3 linked regions of the Ovis aries genome follow. The protein of the gene in region 3 interacts with the protein of the main gene of each other region in a biochemical or structural test. Links are inferred from orthologs where the notes say so. Each region holds a gene or a part of one and is shown on either strand. Other genes may lie near its edges. The genes, in order: ASF1A, ASF1B and CHAF1B.

Region 1 (5,592 bases), on a different chromosome or scaffold from region 3:
ATTTGGGAAGACCTGTGATCTAGGGGAAAGTATGTAGTATTTGTGAATTAGTACAAACCTGAGGTTTTAAAGTATGAAGCTTCATTCAGTTATGTTTTAAGTATGTATTCAACTGACAGCTCTAAGTATTGATCAACATTTTTTAAAAAGGCTCCATTCAGTAAAGAAGCAGAGAAATCAGCAGTCCACAGAAGGTATAACAAAGTCAGCAGTAAAGTCAATGAAAATGTGTACAGGCTTGGTGACCATCAGACCAAACACACCCAAGGTCTCCTATCTCCTGGACTTAACAGGAGAGCCTCTCCTTACATCTGTGGATTGCTGTCCTACCCCTGTATAGGTCTTACAGTAGATTTCAACTAAATTCTCTTAAGTACTCAGACTTTTTCTGAAACAAAGCTACAGGGCAGCTTTTAAAGGAAAGTCAAAATATGTGAGGGCTATTGACAATTTAAAGTATGAAAAATGATGGCCAAGCTCTGGAACTTGAAACAAAATTATACAGTGAAAATTTCTCATTGGACTATTCTATATTTCACTTCCAAGAACAAATATTTTAAAGAACTGTAGCAATGGCACCCCACTCCAGTACTCCTGCCTGGAAAATCCCATGGATGGAAGAGCCTGGTTGGCTGCAGTCCACGGGGTCACTAAGAGTTAGACATGACTGAGTGACTTCACTTTCACTTTTCACTTTCATGCACTGGAGAAGGAAATGGCAACCCACTCCAGTGTTCTTGCCTGGAGAATCCCAGGGACGGGGGAGCCTGGTGGGCTGCCGTCTATGGGGTCACACAGAGTTGGACACGACTGAAGTGACTTAGTAGCAGCAGCATAAAAGATGGGACTATAAGAAGTCTTTACTAAGTAAACTCTATTTCCTTAATCCACACAGCCTCTAGGTGGAGTACATAAGCATGGCACCTTTTTGAAAGATTCCTTTGCAGCTTCAGTATGACTCAGCTTAAACTCCTAAAAAGTACTAAATAAATGCCCAGTATAAGTACCTGGGAAGTGAGGTAGACAAGTCAAAGTAAGGTGTATTCCTGACATCAGTACTGTAAAAATTGATAGGATTCAGCTTGGTTCTGAAAAGATCCCATTACAAACAGAACACATCAATGGCAGGTTTCAGCCATCCATTGTCAAAGCCCTGTAACAACATCCTGAATCATCTAACTTCCTTGTTGAGAACTCGCTCCTAAAATGGAAGATATCACTTGAGAAATACCAGTAATTTCAAGAAGTTCTAATGCCTAAAACACTGTAGTATAAATTGGAAGGGACTCATTTATTGTATTTCTCTTGCATTTGTCCATTTTTATATGCAGTTGATAGTAAAACCAAAAAAATGTCTAGTGGGCATGAAAATGGGCCTAGTGGCTGAAATGCTTATGGCAGTACTTTAGTAACCAAATAGTTTCAAAGTTCGGTAATAAGGAAAACCCCCTTTAATTTTTATTAGCAACAGCCCATTTAAGAATTAGTTTAATAAATGAATTGTCTTTCAAAATGTGCCTACTTTCGTATGTGCATATGTGCTTTATATTTGTAGTAAAACTACAGTGTATGGAACAGCACATACTAAAGTGGTAATTATGGTTACTTTTGAGTGACATGTTGGCGGAAGGTATTGAGTACAGAGGAGTGTTACTTTATATATGTATGAACAACTTTTAAAAAGTTTATTACAATGAGCATATGTTGGTTTTTGTAATTGAAATAGTTTACACACTACCTAAAATACATTATACAGGGATTAAAGGATAATTTTTAAAGTGAAAATGCTTTACATGCCTTGATTAGCATATAATTTAAGATGAATTTTGCTAAACATAATTGTAAGTTCAAAAAAAGCCTGTCCCCTATTTAGCTGTAAAATTACCATCGATGAAGTTAAACTTTTTTTTCCCCTTGAAATTTTGAAAATGGAGCACTGGATGGTTTTAATAAAATCGGAAAGACCTTGGCAAATTTTAGCTTTCTGAATTTCTTACCGCACATGCTATATGTCTTTCTGAGGACCTTAAAACGTACTTAGAAAAAAAAAATTAAATTTTGCATTGCCATCAGGACTTTATTTCCTAGCCCACTTTTGTGTTTTATGTTCAGGGTATTTGGATGTGGACTTGCTGTAATTAGATTTCAACACGTTCTTGAAGGAAGTCTTTCAGACTACTTAGAAGCCAGTGATCAAGTCCTGGAAATTATTTAAATATTTTACTTATTTCTGCTCTCAGGTTAAATGTAACTTGCTAGCTTAGCAATATGTTTCTTCCTGAGAGAGAGAAGATTAGATTTCAGTCACCAAGGATGAGGAGCCCACGTTGCTCGGGGCGAGCCTGCGCGCCAGCATCCCCGGGCGCCCCGAGCATCCTGGGTGCCGGCTGGGGAGCGCCGGCCCGGGAGCACCCGCGGCCCCCGGAGAGCGCCGGCCCGTGGCGCCGAGGGGCCGAGCCTGCGCCCGCCTCCCCCACTGGTTGGTCCACGGAACCAGAAATCAGCGCGAGGACAGCCTCGCTCCCCTCCCCGAAGCGGCCGGGCATGGCCACCCCGGAGAGTCCGGTAACTCCAGCGTGAGCGCTAAAAATGGACGTGCCTCTTGCTCGGGGGCAGGAAGGTGGGCAGGCGGGGCGCCGCGCTCGTCACCCGCGGAGAGGAGGCGTCGTGACGCCGGGGTCGGTGGCCCAATTCTCTACTCTCGGTAAGATGGCTCCGCTGCGAACTCGCCGGCGCCGACCACACACATGCCTCTGCCTTCCCACCTCCTCGCCGGGGCCGCGGAGGCCGTTGGGTGCCCGGGGCCAGCCCGGCGCGACCCCCGGCCGGCGCCGCGGGCGCGAGTGCGGGTCTCGCGAAGCGCCCGCCCGCCAGACAAAGCTGACAACATGGCTACCTCCGCTCGAACAAGTTCCTCGCAAGTTGAGCCGCGGCAGGCGCCCCGGCGGCGGCCGAACGCCGCGCGCGCCTGGCCGGCCGTCGTCCATCAACTTCAAGTTTCCCTCCGCAAAGCCGAGCCCGCAGCCCGCTCGGCGCCGAGCCCCGGCCGCCCGCGTGAGGCCGGGCCCGGGAAACTTTCAACGTCTGCAGCCCGCAACTGACAGCCCGGCGGCGGGCGGGCGCCCGACTCACCTTCAGACAGGTCCTCGATGCACTCGAAGGTGATCTCGAACTGGAATGGGTTGTAGAAGGGAGAAGGGTTATCCAGCACCACTACATTGTTCACCTGAACCTTTGCCATATTTTGAAAAAAACACAAACAATGGGGACGGGGGGCTCGTTGCGGCACAATAAAGTCCAGCGCGCGGCCGCTCGGGAGAGCGCAGACCCCCGCCCCGGCGCCGGCCCGACGTCGTGCAGCGGCGACTTGAGAAACTTTTTTTTCCTCTTTTTATTTACACGGGAACACTCCACAGTGTTTTGCAGCTTTCCTATTTCACTAAACTACAGCCCATTCTGCTCTGATAACTAGCAGCGTTGCCCGCGATTGGCTGCACCCGAGCTCTGACCCTCCTCCTCCAGCGAGGGCCTCCGCGGCGAGCAAGATGGGCTCCCGCTCCCGGAATGGACTCGGAAACTTTAACTGCGGCTCCACCTGCTGGTGTGGATTAGGACAAAGGCGGAGAACAAAGTGAGTGGAATACGGGCTGGGAGGCCCGCGCGGAGGCCGCCGGCGGCAGCGGCGGCGGCGGCGGCGGGGGGAGGGGCGGCGCAGGCCCCGCCCCCGGCCCGGCGGCTCCCGCGCCTCACGTCGGGCGTGGCCGCAGCGGGGCGGGGTCGAGGGAGGCGTGGCCACGGCGAGGCGGCAGGAGGCGTGGCCACGGCGGGAAGGCGTGCTCGCCGTGGGCACGGCGACGGGAGGGCGCGATCCTGGCGACACCCGCCTCTGGGGTTTGTGTAACGGGTTTGTTCTGTGTCTCCCCCACTCCCCCTTCTGACTCTTCACATTAGTCCGACGGCTGTGTCGGCTCTCTACTGAATTTAGGAGATGCGAATCCGTTGTCTACACTAGGTTAGGTTCAGTTGTCTGTGTACTGGGTAATATTTGGGTTAGAGGGAAGGTTGGTTGCAGGGGAAGTAAATTGCATTTTATAGACTGATGTCAGCTCAAAAGGAGCAAAGCCATTTTGGAAATCTAGTTCTTGGCCAATCTCTACGTTTGGGCACGACAGCGCCGTTAGTTAAGTAGATACAAAATGAAGGGCGAGGAAACGCTTTTCCACCCACACTTTGTGGAATAGGTAGTATTTGGGCTGCACCAGGGTCGTCTTTCTCCCGTTCCAGTCTGGAAAGTCTAGAATAAAAAGATGACTTGAGGTTGGATCACTTATACCCGGTTTCTCCTGTTCGGAGGACACAGCAGGAACATAAAAAGGAGAAAATGCAAGTATCAGAAGACCGTAAAGACAACAGATACAAGCAGAAAAGGCAAAAGGCGAGTAGAGACCACGAAAGCATACCAAGACGTGCAATTTTCCAAAAAGTCATGACCTAAACCGTTAGTAAGTAAAAATGTATGGCACCACGAGCAAGTTCAGAGGAATCTTTACTTGATTATTCGACATTCAGCGTCAGTTTGTTCTTGACTACCTTTGTAGGAAAGGGAGAGCTTGTAATACATTTTGTGTAAGGTTGTTGAGCTGTTTCTATTTTCTAAATAAGAGCAATATAAAGGGATTTTTTTCCCTGCTGCATAAACCATCATTTTTCAGGTATTTTGAATGAAACCACTTGGTTAATTAAATTCAGAGAAAGTTATTTAAGTGTCATCTATGCTGAAAGTTTTCTCTTAGTATGGTGCTGAGAATTTTTCAGTTAACATTCTTTGGACACTGTTCATTGCAGGTTGCTTTTAATGAGACTTCTGCATCTGATGGTCTTTTGAAAGTTAATAAGAGACAGCTAGGGAGGCCTGGCATGCTGCAGTCCATGAAGTCACAAAGAGTCACACAACTTAGCCATAGAACAACAGCAATGGGACAGTTAATCCCAGGCCTCCCACATTTAGGGAAACTACTCAGGGTGAGGATCCCATTGTATCATGGATGGATTAGCAAATACCACGATCTACTGGAAGGGGTTTCCTCAAGCCCAGGTATTTGTACAAATTAGAGTTTAACAGTCATACTGTGGGGACAGGTGCAAATTACGTTGGCTGATAAACTGTATTCTCTGTTCATTGTTATTAGTGCTGGGCCTAAGGCTGCCTCAGATGAAGTGTAAGTTGTAAGACACACAGAACATAGGCGATAGCCATTTGAAGCATAAAACAAGGTTCTCTTGAGACTGGGATATATGCAGTTTCCTCATTATTGCAGGCATCGTTATGAGGAGATTGAAATCCATTTGCTTTATAAAAATGACTTTAAAAGCTTGGTAAAAATCAAGTGCGCTTTTAATCTGCTCGTGTTCTAAGTCGCTTTAGTCATGTCTGACTCTTTGCGACCCTGTGGATTGTAGCCTGCCAGGCTCCTCTGTCCACTGCTCATAGGTGATGTCATTGTGAAGTGTGTAAGATTTGTTCTCAGCATCAAGACTGAGATTTACCTGGATAGTACTACTGGGTTGGCCGAGAAGTTTGTTGGAGTTTTT
Region 2 (5,620 bases), on a different chromosome or scaffold from region 3:
GAAGATGGAAGATGACTAAAACAAGGACTCTTAAGCAGAGGCATCCTGAAATGACTTCACTTTTTTGAATGAGCTGTGAGGACGTCAATCACAAACAGCACAAATTCATTCCTGCTGAATATGAATTAAGGTCGCACATGTGTAACGTATGCCTAGCCTTCTAAGTAATTCCAAGGGTAAATGGATTCCATTGTTTTGACTTTATGCCTTAACTTTATCATCTAACCACTGCACAAAATGCTCCTCCACTATGTATGAAAACAAAATCCAGACCAACGGTATGATGAAAAACATAAAAAAAATTACGGTAGTTGAACTAGCAGGAGAATCTGTTTCCTGTCCCCCCCAAAACACAAACAGGACTACCCTGGTGGCACGGTAGATAAGACTCCACCTGTAATGCAGGAGACACAGGCTCCATCCCTGGTCCAGGATGATCCCAACAGGTCTCAGGGTAACCAACTCCATGCGCCGCAACCACTGAGCCCGTGTGCCACAGCTACTGAAGTCTGCTCATCCTAGGGCCCAGGCTCCACAACAAGAGAAGCCTCCTGCAATGAGACACCCAAGCACCATGACGAAGAGTAGCTCCTGCTCCCAACTAGAGAAAGCCCAAGTGCAGCAATGAAGACCCATCGTAGCCACACACACACAAGTCCCAAACAATCAAAAAAACAACAAAACAACCCCAACCCCAACAACTTATCTAGTATGCCTTTTTCTGTTTATCACTTTCCCTTTGTTCATAATACAGTTGAACCTTGGCCTGACCACAGCGTGTTCGGTGTAGGTCAGAAAATCTGGCTCTAAGACTTGTTCAGGCAGTATCTCATGAATCTCTCAACTAAACTGGGGGAAAACACACCCAATGTATTGAATACAGACCCAGGCCTTGGACGCATCTATTTCCACATGCTGCTGAGCGGGGAGAGGGAGAGAGAGTTAAAACATTTCAGAGCCCTTGAGAAATGGCTCAGAGTTGGGGCTGGGTGTTCAGATCTTCAGTTACCAGGTAATAAGGCTGACTGAGAATTTCTCCAGAATCTAAGAGACTTCTAAAGCCAGGCCTACTCCATTTGTTTGGGAGGCAGGAGACAAATCCTTTCTGCTCTGTGGGAAGAGGCAGAAAGCATGTTGACAGGTCAGAGTGAAGCACAGCCCTACAGGTACAACCAGAGAGTGTAGACTTCCAGGCCAGAGTTGGCTTTCCAACTGGAATTCTTCTGAGCAAAAGCTTTATTGTTCAGGTATAATTAATAATAAGACCCTGTTGCCCTCTTCTGTCCTGTTTATGTCTCACTTCTAAAATAGTGGGTGCATTCTTTTCCAGTTTATAGCAAAGATAAAGAACCCTGGACTCAGAACTCAGAAACAAGACCTAGTTGTGAATAATTCTACACACCAGCTGTGTGACCTTGGAAAAATCATTTTGTTTCCATTAGAAAAATAATGACCTTGGGGAAAGAAAGAACTGTCTTTAGGGATTTCCCTGGTGGTCCAGTGGTTAAGAATCCACCTGCCAAAGCAGGGGACATGGGTTTGATCCCTGGTCCGGGAAGACCTTACATGCTGTGGAGCAACTACTCCCGAGCGCTCCAATTACTGAAGCCTGCTCACCTAGAGCCTGTGCCCCTCAACAAGAGAAGCCACCGCAGCAAGAAGTCCAATGCACCACAACGAAGAGTAGTCACTGCTCACCCCAACTAGAGAAAGCCTGAGCAAAGCACCGAAGATCTAGCTCAGCCAAAAATAAATAAATCTTAAACAAAATATAACACAAATAAAAAACAATGACCAGCAGGTTGACTTTAGACTCTCCTGATTCTATAAACAGATTAATAAAGTAACAGGGCAGTAGCTTTGCAGGAATGAAAGTACTAGATAATGACCATGCAACCATTTTTAAATGCCAGGAGCTCAAACAGGCTGATTGAAACCCGATCTCCTGCCATCTGGGAACTATGAATCCCTTGAACTATTAGCTCCTTACATCTCCTGGCTTTAAAATTAAATCTTATTCCACAGGGTCATTCTACACTTTATTTATTTATTTACACCCCGCCTTGTTCCAGAAAGGATTTAACTGGGCATATTCTATAGTTAGTCATAAGTAGAATGACTCCTTGATTTAAAAACGAGAGAAAGCAGGGAGTGATCCAATGGCCCCACCCAAGCACACATCAAAACTCTTCAACCCCATGTTAGTTGGAGAAGCCCATTTGTAGGCAAACCACCCACCAACCACTGAGAACGACTAGTTTAGCACACCCTTGCCTTCCAGATCTCTACCTCCTTAGAGGCTGCCTCTTCTCTTCTAACCACCAAGTAGAGAAGACATCTAATGGAAGTACTTCCTCCTGAAAGTGGTGCCAAGACTCGCTGAACAACCTTAGCCTTTCTGGTTTTTATAGGCCTTTACTTGAAAGGTCTTTTACTCTGTCTCCCGCCTTCTCATCTGTGAGATGAGAGCCATGTCCGCCTTTTGTCACAGGGATGAATAAGCACATCTGTGAAAGCACCTTGGAAAAGGTGCACAAAAGGCTGTGACCTCCCAGATTGAAGCCAAACATCACCATGGCTCGGCCTGGCACACCCACCCCACACCGCGCAAGTCGAGGTCAGGCCATCAAAAGTGTTGCAAGCTTTGCTGCAGTGGGTCAGCAGGAATCCAGCAGGCCAACAGCAGGAACCAGCTAACGTGTGCCTGGCCATGCCACTCCTCAGATCTGAGTGTGTTCATTGAAGCCCACAGTCAGGGAAGAGGAAGGAAGAGGAGCTGGGGAGACCAGATCATCCTCAAACACTGGAGCAGGAAGCCAGGTCATGCCTCTCTTGAGGAAGTAGAGGGTTGGGGCCAGACTAAGGAGGGAAGCCAGTTTCTAGGGTATGTGTTTTGAGGTAGGAAACAAGCTGAAGGGGGGTAGGGTGGGGTTAAGTATCAGCAGGTAGGGGATATTATGGGGAGACAAATGGGGAGATAAGGATGTGTGAGGTCTTGCCAGAGGGCGAGGATCTTCACAGGGAAAATGAGGGAGGAGGCTGCGGTTTTCATATGGGACACGGGAGGGGGCTAGAGCTTACATCTCCACAGGAAAAGAGTGAGGTGGAAGTGTCTCACCACAGGGGAGAGGGGATTGGTGGGGGAGGATTGGGTGGCTGGAATGGTAGTCTGTCCATACAGAAACAGAAGATGGGGGGTTTCTTGCTACAAGGAAGATGGGAAGGCTGAGGGTCTCTGCAGGTTAAAGAACTGAGGCTGAGGTCTCTACACAGAAAACAGATGCTCAGGAGGAACGCCCAGGAGAAAGAGGAGGATGAAGTGGTCTCCATGAGGGGAAAAGAGGAGTAACCATGGGGGTGGGGTGCGGTGGGTAGTCTCCAAGGGGCGGGGTTGGGGCTGGTGGGCGGGCTTTGGTTCAAGGGAGATCGCGGTTGGGGGAGGGGGAGGGGGAGAGGAAGTGTGTTTGGCAGGGTTGGCCTCGGGGTTGTCTGCAAAGGGAGGTCGGGGTTAGCTCAGGGGAGTGGGGTCTCCACAAGGGCCCAATCTCACCGTCTGCCAGGGCCTCATTGCACTCAAAGCTGATCTCGAACCGGAAAGGGCTGTGGAAAGGGCTCGGATTCTCCAGCACCGCCACGTTCAATACTGACACTTTAGCCATCGCCTCGTCGGGTCACGGCTGAGGCCAGAGCTGGGGCCGAGCCCGCGCCTGGGTCCTGTCGGGTCAGCGGCGAAGCTCTGCCCAAACCCGCTCCCGCCTCCTCTGACCGCGATCTGAAGTGCGTATCTAGTCCGCGCGCCTCCTTCAAATAGCCGGCTCTCACCCTACGGCCAATCACCGTCAACGCTCCACGACTGCGCGAGTGCTTCCTCAGCCAATCCTGGAGCGCCGGTCGGCGCGCGCCGAGACTCCCGAGACCAATCCGTGGAGCTCCATCTCAGGGATGAGCGAGGGAGGCGGGACCGTCTCTAGGCTTCTTTGGTGTCCGCGGGGAACCAATCCCCAGAGTCTCCGACTCGGACGTCCAGGGAGGGGTGGGCGGGGTCAGAGCGCCTGGCTCTTCTTGGCCAATCCCTAGGGTCCCCGCACCAGCGTGGTCCGCGATTAGCCCCGCCTTTCCGGGAGACTCTTCCAGCTGGGGGCAGCGCAGTCAACCGCCGAGTGGTGGCGCACAGCGCTCGCTTAAGCGGGAAGGAAGGGACGTGCTGGACTTGCAGTGATTGGCAGGCAGAAATGGGGCGGAGATAAAGCAGGTTTCCTGAGAGGTGATTGGCTGAGTTGGCTGCGGGGGCGGGAGAAGAGAAGACGCGGCCGGGGATTCGTGGAAGTGGAGCGGAAGTCGGCCGCTGACGCGGTTGAGCAGAGTGTGAAGAGAAAGGAGCAGCGTTTGCGGCATCGGCATCTGTCAGCAGGTGAGCGTTGCCGGAAGTTTCTCTAAGGGGCTCCTGGCCCCGCAGACCCGGCAGGCTGGGCGTCCGTTGTGAACGTTGTGAACGTTTAACTCACCCTTGAGCGCAGACGGTGCCGCGCTAACGCGGCGCTCTGGGGCCCGGGACCCGGTAGTCGGGCCTGGTTCGAATCAGGTTCTTACTTGAGAGCCCCTGGGGAGGTTTCAGGTGGACGGCGCTGAATGGGATTTCGAATCCGGCCTCTGCCACGCACCACCCGAGGCCTCATTTCCCTGCTCATTGAACGGGGTGATGAAATTTTACTGGCCTGACTTATGACTACATAATACATCTAGAAACTTCTTTCCACTCCCAGGCGTAGGCGGGACCACCGTCGCCCCCTGTCTGGAAGACTCGAGGGGCCGCCGCATTCCTTTAGTCCGCTTCCACGGGCGTCAACAAACCTAATCTTAAACTTTTCTATAGTAGCCACGTTACATATATATATATAAATATATTAAACTTAATGTAGTATAGCCAGAATATCATTTCAACATGTGATCGGTATTAAAAAAAAACAAACACGAACCTGAGGTATCTTTATTTTGTTACCTAGTACTAACGGTTTGAAAACCTGTGTATTTTACACGTTACACCACAGCTGTGATCCGGACGCTAGGTTTTCACCGGAAATAGTTGAGGTTTCATAAAATTTACAGTTGAAATGGAGATTCACATGCCCAAGTGTTTCCCAACATACGTTAAAATTTCCCATGAACTCAATCTCATGTCGGTGATAAATTGAAATATTAATTAATGAAAGTTAAGCGACGTGGAATGTTCTGTTTCACAGTGGCACTAGCCACACTGAGGTGCTTGTCATCCCCTGTGGCTTCCGATATTGGATAGCCAAAACCAACTTCAGCCAAACTGACCTTTTTGTTTCATAAAATCTGACATGACACCCCCCACCTCTTTTCTGGTGCCTCCTTGTTATTCAAGTCTCTGCTCAAATTTCTTCGGAGAATCCAAGAGCCCCCTGGACAACATTCAAATTCGTGGAACATAAGCCTGAACGGTACATTTCAAGCCACTAGGATTTCTTATCCATCCACCTCTGTGGCCTCGTGATGCTCAGAATATTCTCTCTCTTTTTTTTTTTTTTTTTTTGTATCTCCATCTCAAGTAGGATTGAAAGGATTCTTCCCCTCATTGAAACGATTTGGCTGCAAG
Region 3 (5,670 bases):
TCTATTTTAATGGCTTTTAATGGAAAATCCATTTTAATCCATATTTTTATCTTTTTAAGCCAGGGGTCCCCAATCCCTGGACTGCTACCAGCCTGTGGCCTGTTAGGAACTGGGCTAGCTGGCAGGAGGCTAGGAGGAGGCAGGAGGAGCTTCCTGTGTATTTAGAGCCACTCCCTGGCGATCACATACTGCCTGAGCTCCGCCTCCTCTCAGGTCAGCAGTGGCTCTGGATTCTCACAGGGCCGTGAGTCCTACGGTGAGCCCTGCGGTGAACGGTGCTTGAGAGGGACCCAGGTGGCAGGCTCCTTGTGAGAATTTAATGCCTGATGATCTGAGGTGGAGCTCAGGCCATGAGGTGAGCTCTGGGGAGTGGCTCAGGGAGGAGGACCTCAGGAGACCATGATGAATCAACTGCCTGCATACTCTATCACTGAGCAGCAAGTGACAACTGTATAATTATTTCATTATATATTATAATATAATAATAATAACAACAGAAATAAGGTGCACAAAAAATGTAATGCACTTGAATCAGCCAGAAATCAACCCTCACCCCCAGTCTGTGGAAAAACTGTCTTCCACGAAACCTGTTCCTGGTGCCAAAAATATTGGGGGGCCGCTGTTTTAAACTATGCCTGCATTACTGTCTTGCACAAGTAAAAGTTTTAAGTGAGATATGAAAGTCTAAATGCCTATCAGCTGAATGCATTCAGGTCCTAAAGCTAACCCCTCTGCAGGTCCCTCCCAAGGTTACCTCAGGGTTTTTACGACAGTCCAATTCTCCTTGTTCAGCTGAGCCTCATCCTCATCCTGAAAAGCAACCTGTTCCGGCTCCTTGTTATCATTCACCTTCCAGAGCAGAATGACAGCATCTGCAGAGTGAGTCGATTAAACGCAAATCACGCTTTCCTGTGTGGCTTCTTCACTTCTGGATTTTTAGGACATTAAACAATATCTACAGACACTATGGCCATGAGGATTTACCTCTAAGAATTCGGGCAGGAACAGCAAGTTTCCCTTCTGAACAAAAGCTTTCTAATTTACTGTGTTCTTATATTGTGTTTTTCTGTATCAGATATTTTAAGCTCTATAATGGAAATCTGGGGGGTTTTTTTGGGGGGGTGCATACTGGGTGGCTTATGGGATCTTATTTCCTGACCAGCAATGGAACCAGGGCCCCCAGCAGTGGAAGCACAGGGTCCTAACCACTGGACCACCAGGGAATTCCCTCTATAATAGGAATTTTCAAATGTATACAAAAGTACAGAAACCGTTCACTGCAGCACTGTTTACAATAGCGAGGACATGGAAGCAACCTAAATGTCCATCAACAGAATGGATAAAGAAGATGTGGTACATAAATGCAACGGAATATTACTTAGCTATAAAAAAGAATGAAATACTCCCCATAACATATCCCCATAACTCCCCTAAACTATCTAAATGACAGATTCAGAGGGTCAAGCGACCTCTGAAATGAGAAAGTATATCTAGCTCAAATCTCAGTATTGGCTATGAGACATGTGTGTATCTGGTTTCTACAGATTCAAAGTATAATACTCACCGTCCCCTCCTGATGCTAAAATTTCCCCATTTGGAGAAAAACGTACGACATTGACCGCTTTGGTATGACGAGCAAGATTGGACAAAAATTCAACGATGGCCTTTCCATCTGGTCCTTTTTCTACCTTCCAGATCTGTTGATACAAAAACACTCATTCAGAGAAACATGTAGTGAGCAGGCTTCATACTGCACCTACTAAAACAACCCTGCACTGATTTTCAGAAAGAAAACTTAGTTTCTCTTTTGAAACGTAAGAGGAAGTAATTCCTATCTGAAATATAAACCTCCAGTGCCACTGCCTCCCACCTCTTTCTTGTGCAAACTCTTCCCCTAGAGGAAACTGGCTCAGGGTTCTGAAATAATAACATCACCACATCCAGTGACATCCGTCTATGTAACAGGACCCTAGGAAGAAAGTTGCTCGCTATTGCCTCATTGTTGACTCAAGATCCTGAAAATTTATCCATCTGGGCTAAATACACATATACATACACTTTGTCACTCAGTTGTGTCCGACTCTTTGAGACCCCCAGGCTCCTCTGTCCATGGGATTCTCCAGGCCAGAATACTGGAGTGGATTTGCCATTTCCTCTTCCAGGGGATCTTCCCCACTCAGGGATCCAACTGGCACCTCCTGCCTCTGGCAAGCAGATTCTTTACCGCTAGTGCACCTGGGAAGCCCCTGGGCTAGGTAACTTAGTACAATAATTTGTGATGATTGCCTGCAGTGTGCGTGCTCAGTCCTGTCCGACTCTTTGCAACCCCAGGCTCCTGTGTCCATGGGATTTCCCAGGGGAAAAAAATACTGCAGTGGGCTGCCATTTCCTCCTCCAGGGGGATCTTCCCGACTCAGGGATTGAACCTGCGTCTCAGGCATTGGCAGATTCTTTACCACTGAGCCAGCCAGCTGGGTAGCCCCGCGTTTAACAGTCATTATAAAAACACAAGAGTGCCCTGCTCGGGAAAACCATCTAAGGCTTGGAATCTGCGATATCTGCTCGCGTTTACCGATCCTGCACTTCATTACTGACTCAAGTCGGAGATTCTGTCAGCAACCAAGGACATCTGTTTTAGTCAATGGTGGGTTTTACTTCCAATTCTGGGGCTTTTGTCTGTGTAATCTGACGTGTTCAATATGTTGCTCCATTAAAAGCTCTGCCTATTATAGTTTTATTTCCATTATCATAAAATTGGTTTAAATGTTAATGAAACAGTATACCTAAAAAAAAAACAAAAAACAAAAACACAAGAGTGGAGGGAGAATGCCACTTCAACGTTGCTTCCAGGGCCCTTCCCACTCCCCATGCCCCGCTTACCCTGACAGCCGTGTCCACCCCCGCGGAGGCCAGCCGGTGGATCCTCCCGGCGGCTCCATACTGGAAGTCCAGGCTGTACACCGGCTCCTTGTTGTGCCAGGCGATCTCGCAAGTGATGACTTTCATCCTCCGGAGTCTTCAAGGAGCGAAACACAGTTCCTCAGGGGGTGGTGCGTGGGGGTGGGGGTTGGGGTGCCCCCGTTGGTTCTCCAAAGACGGAGGAGAGAGAGCTGCAAATGGTTGGTGATGAGATCAATCTTCGAGCCAGGGACCAGGCACTGAACGCTCAAGCCTGAGCCCAGGAGCCCTGCCGACCCTGGGAGAGGATGTCAGTGCGGCCCTCTGACGCAGCCCTCGCAGCTCCACCTTAAGTGGTTCGCGGAGTCCGCGGCTGTTTTCAGTTTATTCTCCGGGTATGTCCAGAAAAGCAACGAGGGACGGACACCCAGGGAGGGGAAAGCAAGGCCCGGGCCGGGCCAGGCCAAGCTGAGAGGGGGCGAGACCGGGTATCTGGGGGTGGGCGCCCCGGGGAGACGGCTACCGGGGGTGAGGGAGGGCAGGGGCCGCGGCGGAAGGGCTGCTCGGCAAGCCGACCGAGGCCGGGGAGGAAGGGGGCAGCCGGGAAAGCCGGAACCGGACCTGAGACCTGGCTGAGAGGAGGCCGCCGGGGGCGCTTCTCCTAAGCTCCCCCGGGTCCTCGCGGCTGGCCCTCGACGAGGGCCGCTCGCCACCTCACCCGGCTCCTCACCCTTCACCCAGGCCCGGCCGGGAAAGCGCGGGGACGCGAGTGGCCGCGCGGGAAAAGCAGTACCTGCAGGGATGCGTTCAGGCCGCTGGGCCGCCAGCTCCCGCCGCCGCGCGCGCGCCGCTTCCCGCGCGCCGCAGGCCCCGCCTCCTGATGGGCGGGGCCTCGGGACTCCCCGCCTCCGAGTGGGCGGGGATCTAGAGACTTCCCCCCCTCCTCGTAGGCGGGGATCCACAGAGGCCCCGCCCCTCCGCGGAGGCGTGACCAGCGCCCTTGGACTCGGCTGGCTCCCGCCGGTTTATTATTTCCCTGCGGAACGACGCATCGGTGGAACGATGAGGGAGTCCAGTCACTTCTTCCCTTGTTAATTTAGCAAACATTTACTGAGCATCTGCTATATGCTGGACCCTATGCTGGACCTGGATACACAGTGGAGAGCGAAGCTGACGCAGACTTCAGTTCAGTTCAGTAGCTCAGTCGTGTCCGACTTTTTGCGACCCTATGGACGGCCGCACCGCCAGGCCACCCTGTCCATCACCAACTCCCGGAGCTTACTCAAATTTATGTCCATTGAGTCGGTGATGCTATCCAACCATCTCATCCTCTGTCGTCCCCTCTCCTCCCGCCTTCAATCTTTCCCAGCATCAGGGTCTTTTTCAATGAGTCAGTTCTTCGCATCAGGTAGCCAAAGTATTGGAGTTTCAGCTTCAGCATCAGTCCTTCCAATGAATATTCAGGACTGATTTCCTTTAGGATGGACTGGTTGGATCTCCTTGCAGTCCAAGGGACTCTCAAGAGTCTTCTCCAACACCACAGTTCAAAAGCAGACTTACTCTCAGGAGAATTTGCAGTCTGCTAAAAGAAAACGGAGGGCCCTTCTGTAGGACAGGTGGGGACACTGTAACTCTGAGACTCACCCAAGACTACCACGACTTTCACTAGTGCAGTGACTATCTGACAGCTGTAACCTGTTTTGGTCACTAGTGATAGATAGTGAAGTCGCTCAGTCGTGTCTGACTCTTTTCGACCCCATAGACTGTAACCTACCAGGCTTCTCCATCCATGGGATTCTCCAGGCAAGAATACTGGAGTGGGTTACCATTTCCTTCTCCAGGGGATCTTCCCGACCCAGGGATCGAACCCGGGTCTCCCGCATTGGAGGCAGACACTTTAACCTCTGAGCCACCAGCGAAGCCCTTTTGGTCACTAGTGTTTCAAAATAAATAAACCACAGAAACGGTCTTCAGGCCTCCTGTCATTTTTCCAAATAATAATTTAAAAAGTGAAAAGGAGTATGTCAAGGTTGTATATTGCCACCCTGCTTATTTAACTTATATGCAGAGTACATCATGTGAAATGCTGGGCTGGAGGAATCACAAGCTGAAATCAAGATTGCTGGGAGAAATATCAGCAACCTCAGATGTGCAGATGATACCACTCAAATGGCAGAAAGAGAAGAGGAACTAACGAGTCTCTTGATGAACATGAAAGAGGAGAGTGGAAAAGCTGGCTTAAAATTCAACGTTCAAAAAACAAAGATTATGGCATCTGGTCCCATCACTTCATGGCAAAATAGATGGGGAAAAAGTGGAATCGATGACAGATTTTATTTTCTTGGTCTCCAAGATCACTGTGGACAGTGACTACAGGCATGATTAAAAGACGCTTGCTCCTTGGAAGAAAATCTGTGACCAACCTAGACAGCATATTTAAAGGAAGAGACATCACTTTGCCAGCAAATGTCCATATAGTCAAAGATATGGTTTTTCCAGTAGTTGTGTATGGATGTGAGAGTTGGACCATAAAGAAGGCTGAGCACCGAAGAATTGATGTTTTTGAATTGTGGTTGGAGAAGACTCTTGAGAGTCCCTTGGACTGCAAGATCAAATCAGTCCATCCTAAAGGAAATGGGTCCTGAATAGTCATTGGAAAGACTGATGCTGAAATTGAAGTTTCAATACTTTGACCACCTGATGCACAGAGCCAACTTATTGGAAAAGACCCTGATGCTGGAAAAGATTGATGGCAAAAGAAGAGGGTGACAG

The links.
Region 1: the proteins of CHAF1B (region 3) and ASF1A form a complex in vitro, tested with the Homo sapiens proteins (2 studies listed by BioGRID and IntAct). The link is inferred for Ovis aries from reciprocal best matches to the Homo sapiens genes CHAF1B and ASF1A.
Region 2: the proteins of CHAF1B (region 3) and ASF1B form a complex in vitro, tested with the Homo sapiens proteins (2 studies listed by BioGRID and IntAct). The link is inferred for Ovis aries from reciprocal best matches to the Homo sapiens genes CHAF1B and ASF1B.

What each region holds. Positions count from the first base shown.
Region 1 is NC_056061.1:19,404,069-19,409,660, forward strand, and holds the start of ASF1A (histone chaperone ASF1A), read right to left. Parts: upstream 3,472-5,592; 5' UTR 3,242-3,471; coding exon 3,133-3,241; intron 1,975-3,132; exon of another isoform or gene 1-1,974. UniProt on the Homo sapiens protein: Histone chaperone that facilitates histone deposition and histone exchange and removal during nucleosome assembly and disassembly.
Region 2 is NC_056058.1:9,899,484-9,905,103, reverse strand, and holds the start of ASF1B (histone chaperone ASF1B), read right to left. Parts: upstream 3,780-5,620; 5' UTR 3,660-3,779; coding exon 3,551-3,659; intron 1-3,550. UniProt on the Homo sapiens protein: Histone chaperone that facilitates histone deposition and histone exchange and removal during nucleosome assembly and disassembly. Cooperates with chromatin assembly factor 1 (CAF-1) to promote replication-dependent chromatin assembly.
Region 3 is NC_056054.1:269,270,787-269,276,456, reverse strand, and holds the start of CHAF1B (chromatin assembly factor 1 subunit B), read right to left. Parts: upstream 3,778-5,670; 5' UTR 3,692-3,777; intron 3,111-3,691; exon of another isoform or gene 3,017-3,110; 5' UTR 3,007-3,016; coding exon 2,881-3,006; intron 1,698-2,880; coding exon 1,565-1,697; intron 873-1,564; coding exon 755-872; intron 1-754. UniProt on the Homo sapiens protein: Acts as a component of the histone chaperone complex chromatin assembly factor 1 (CAF-1), which assembles histone octamers onto DNA during replication and repair.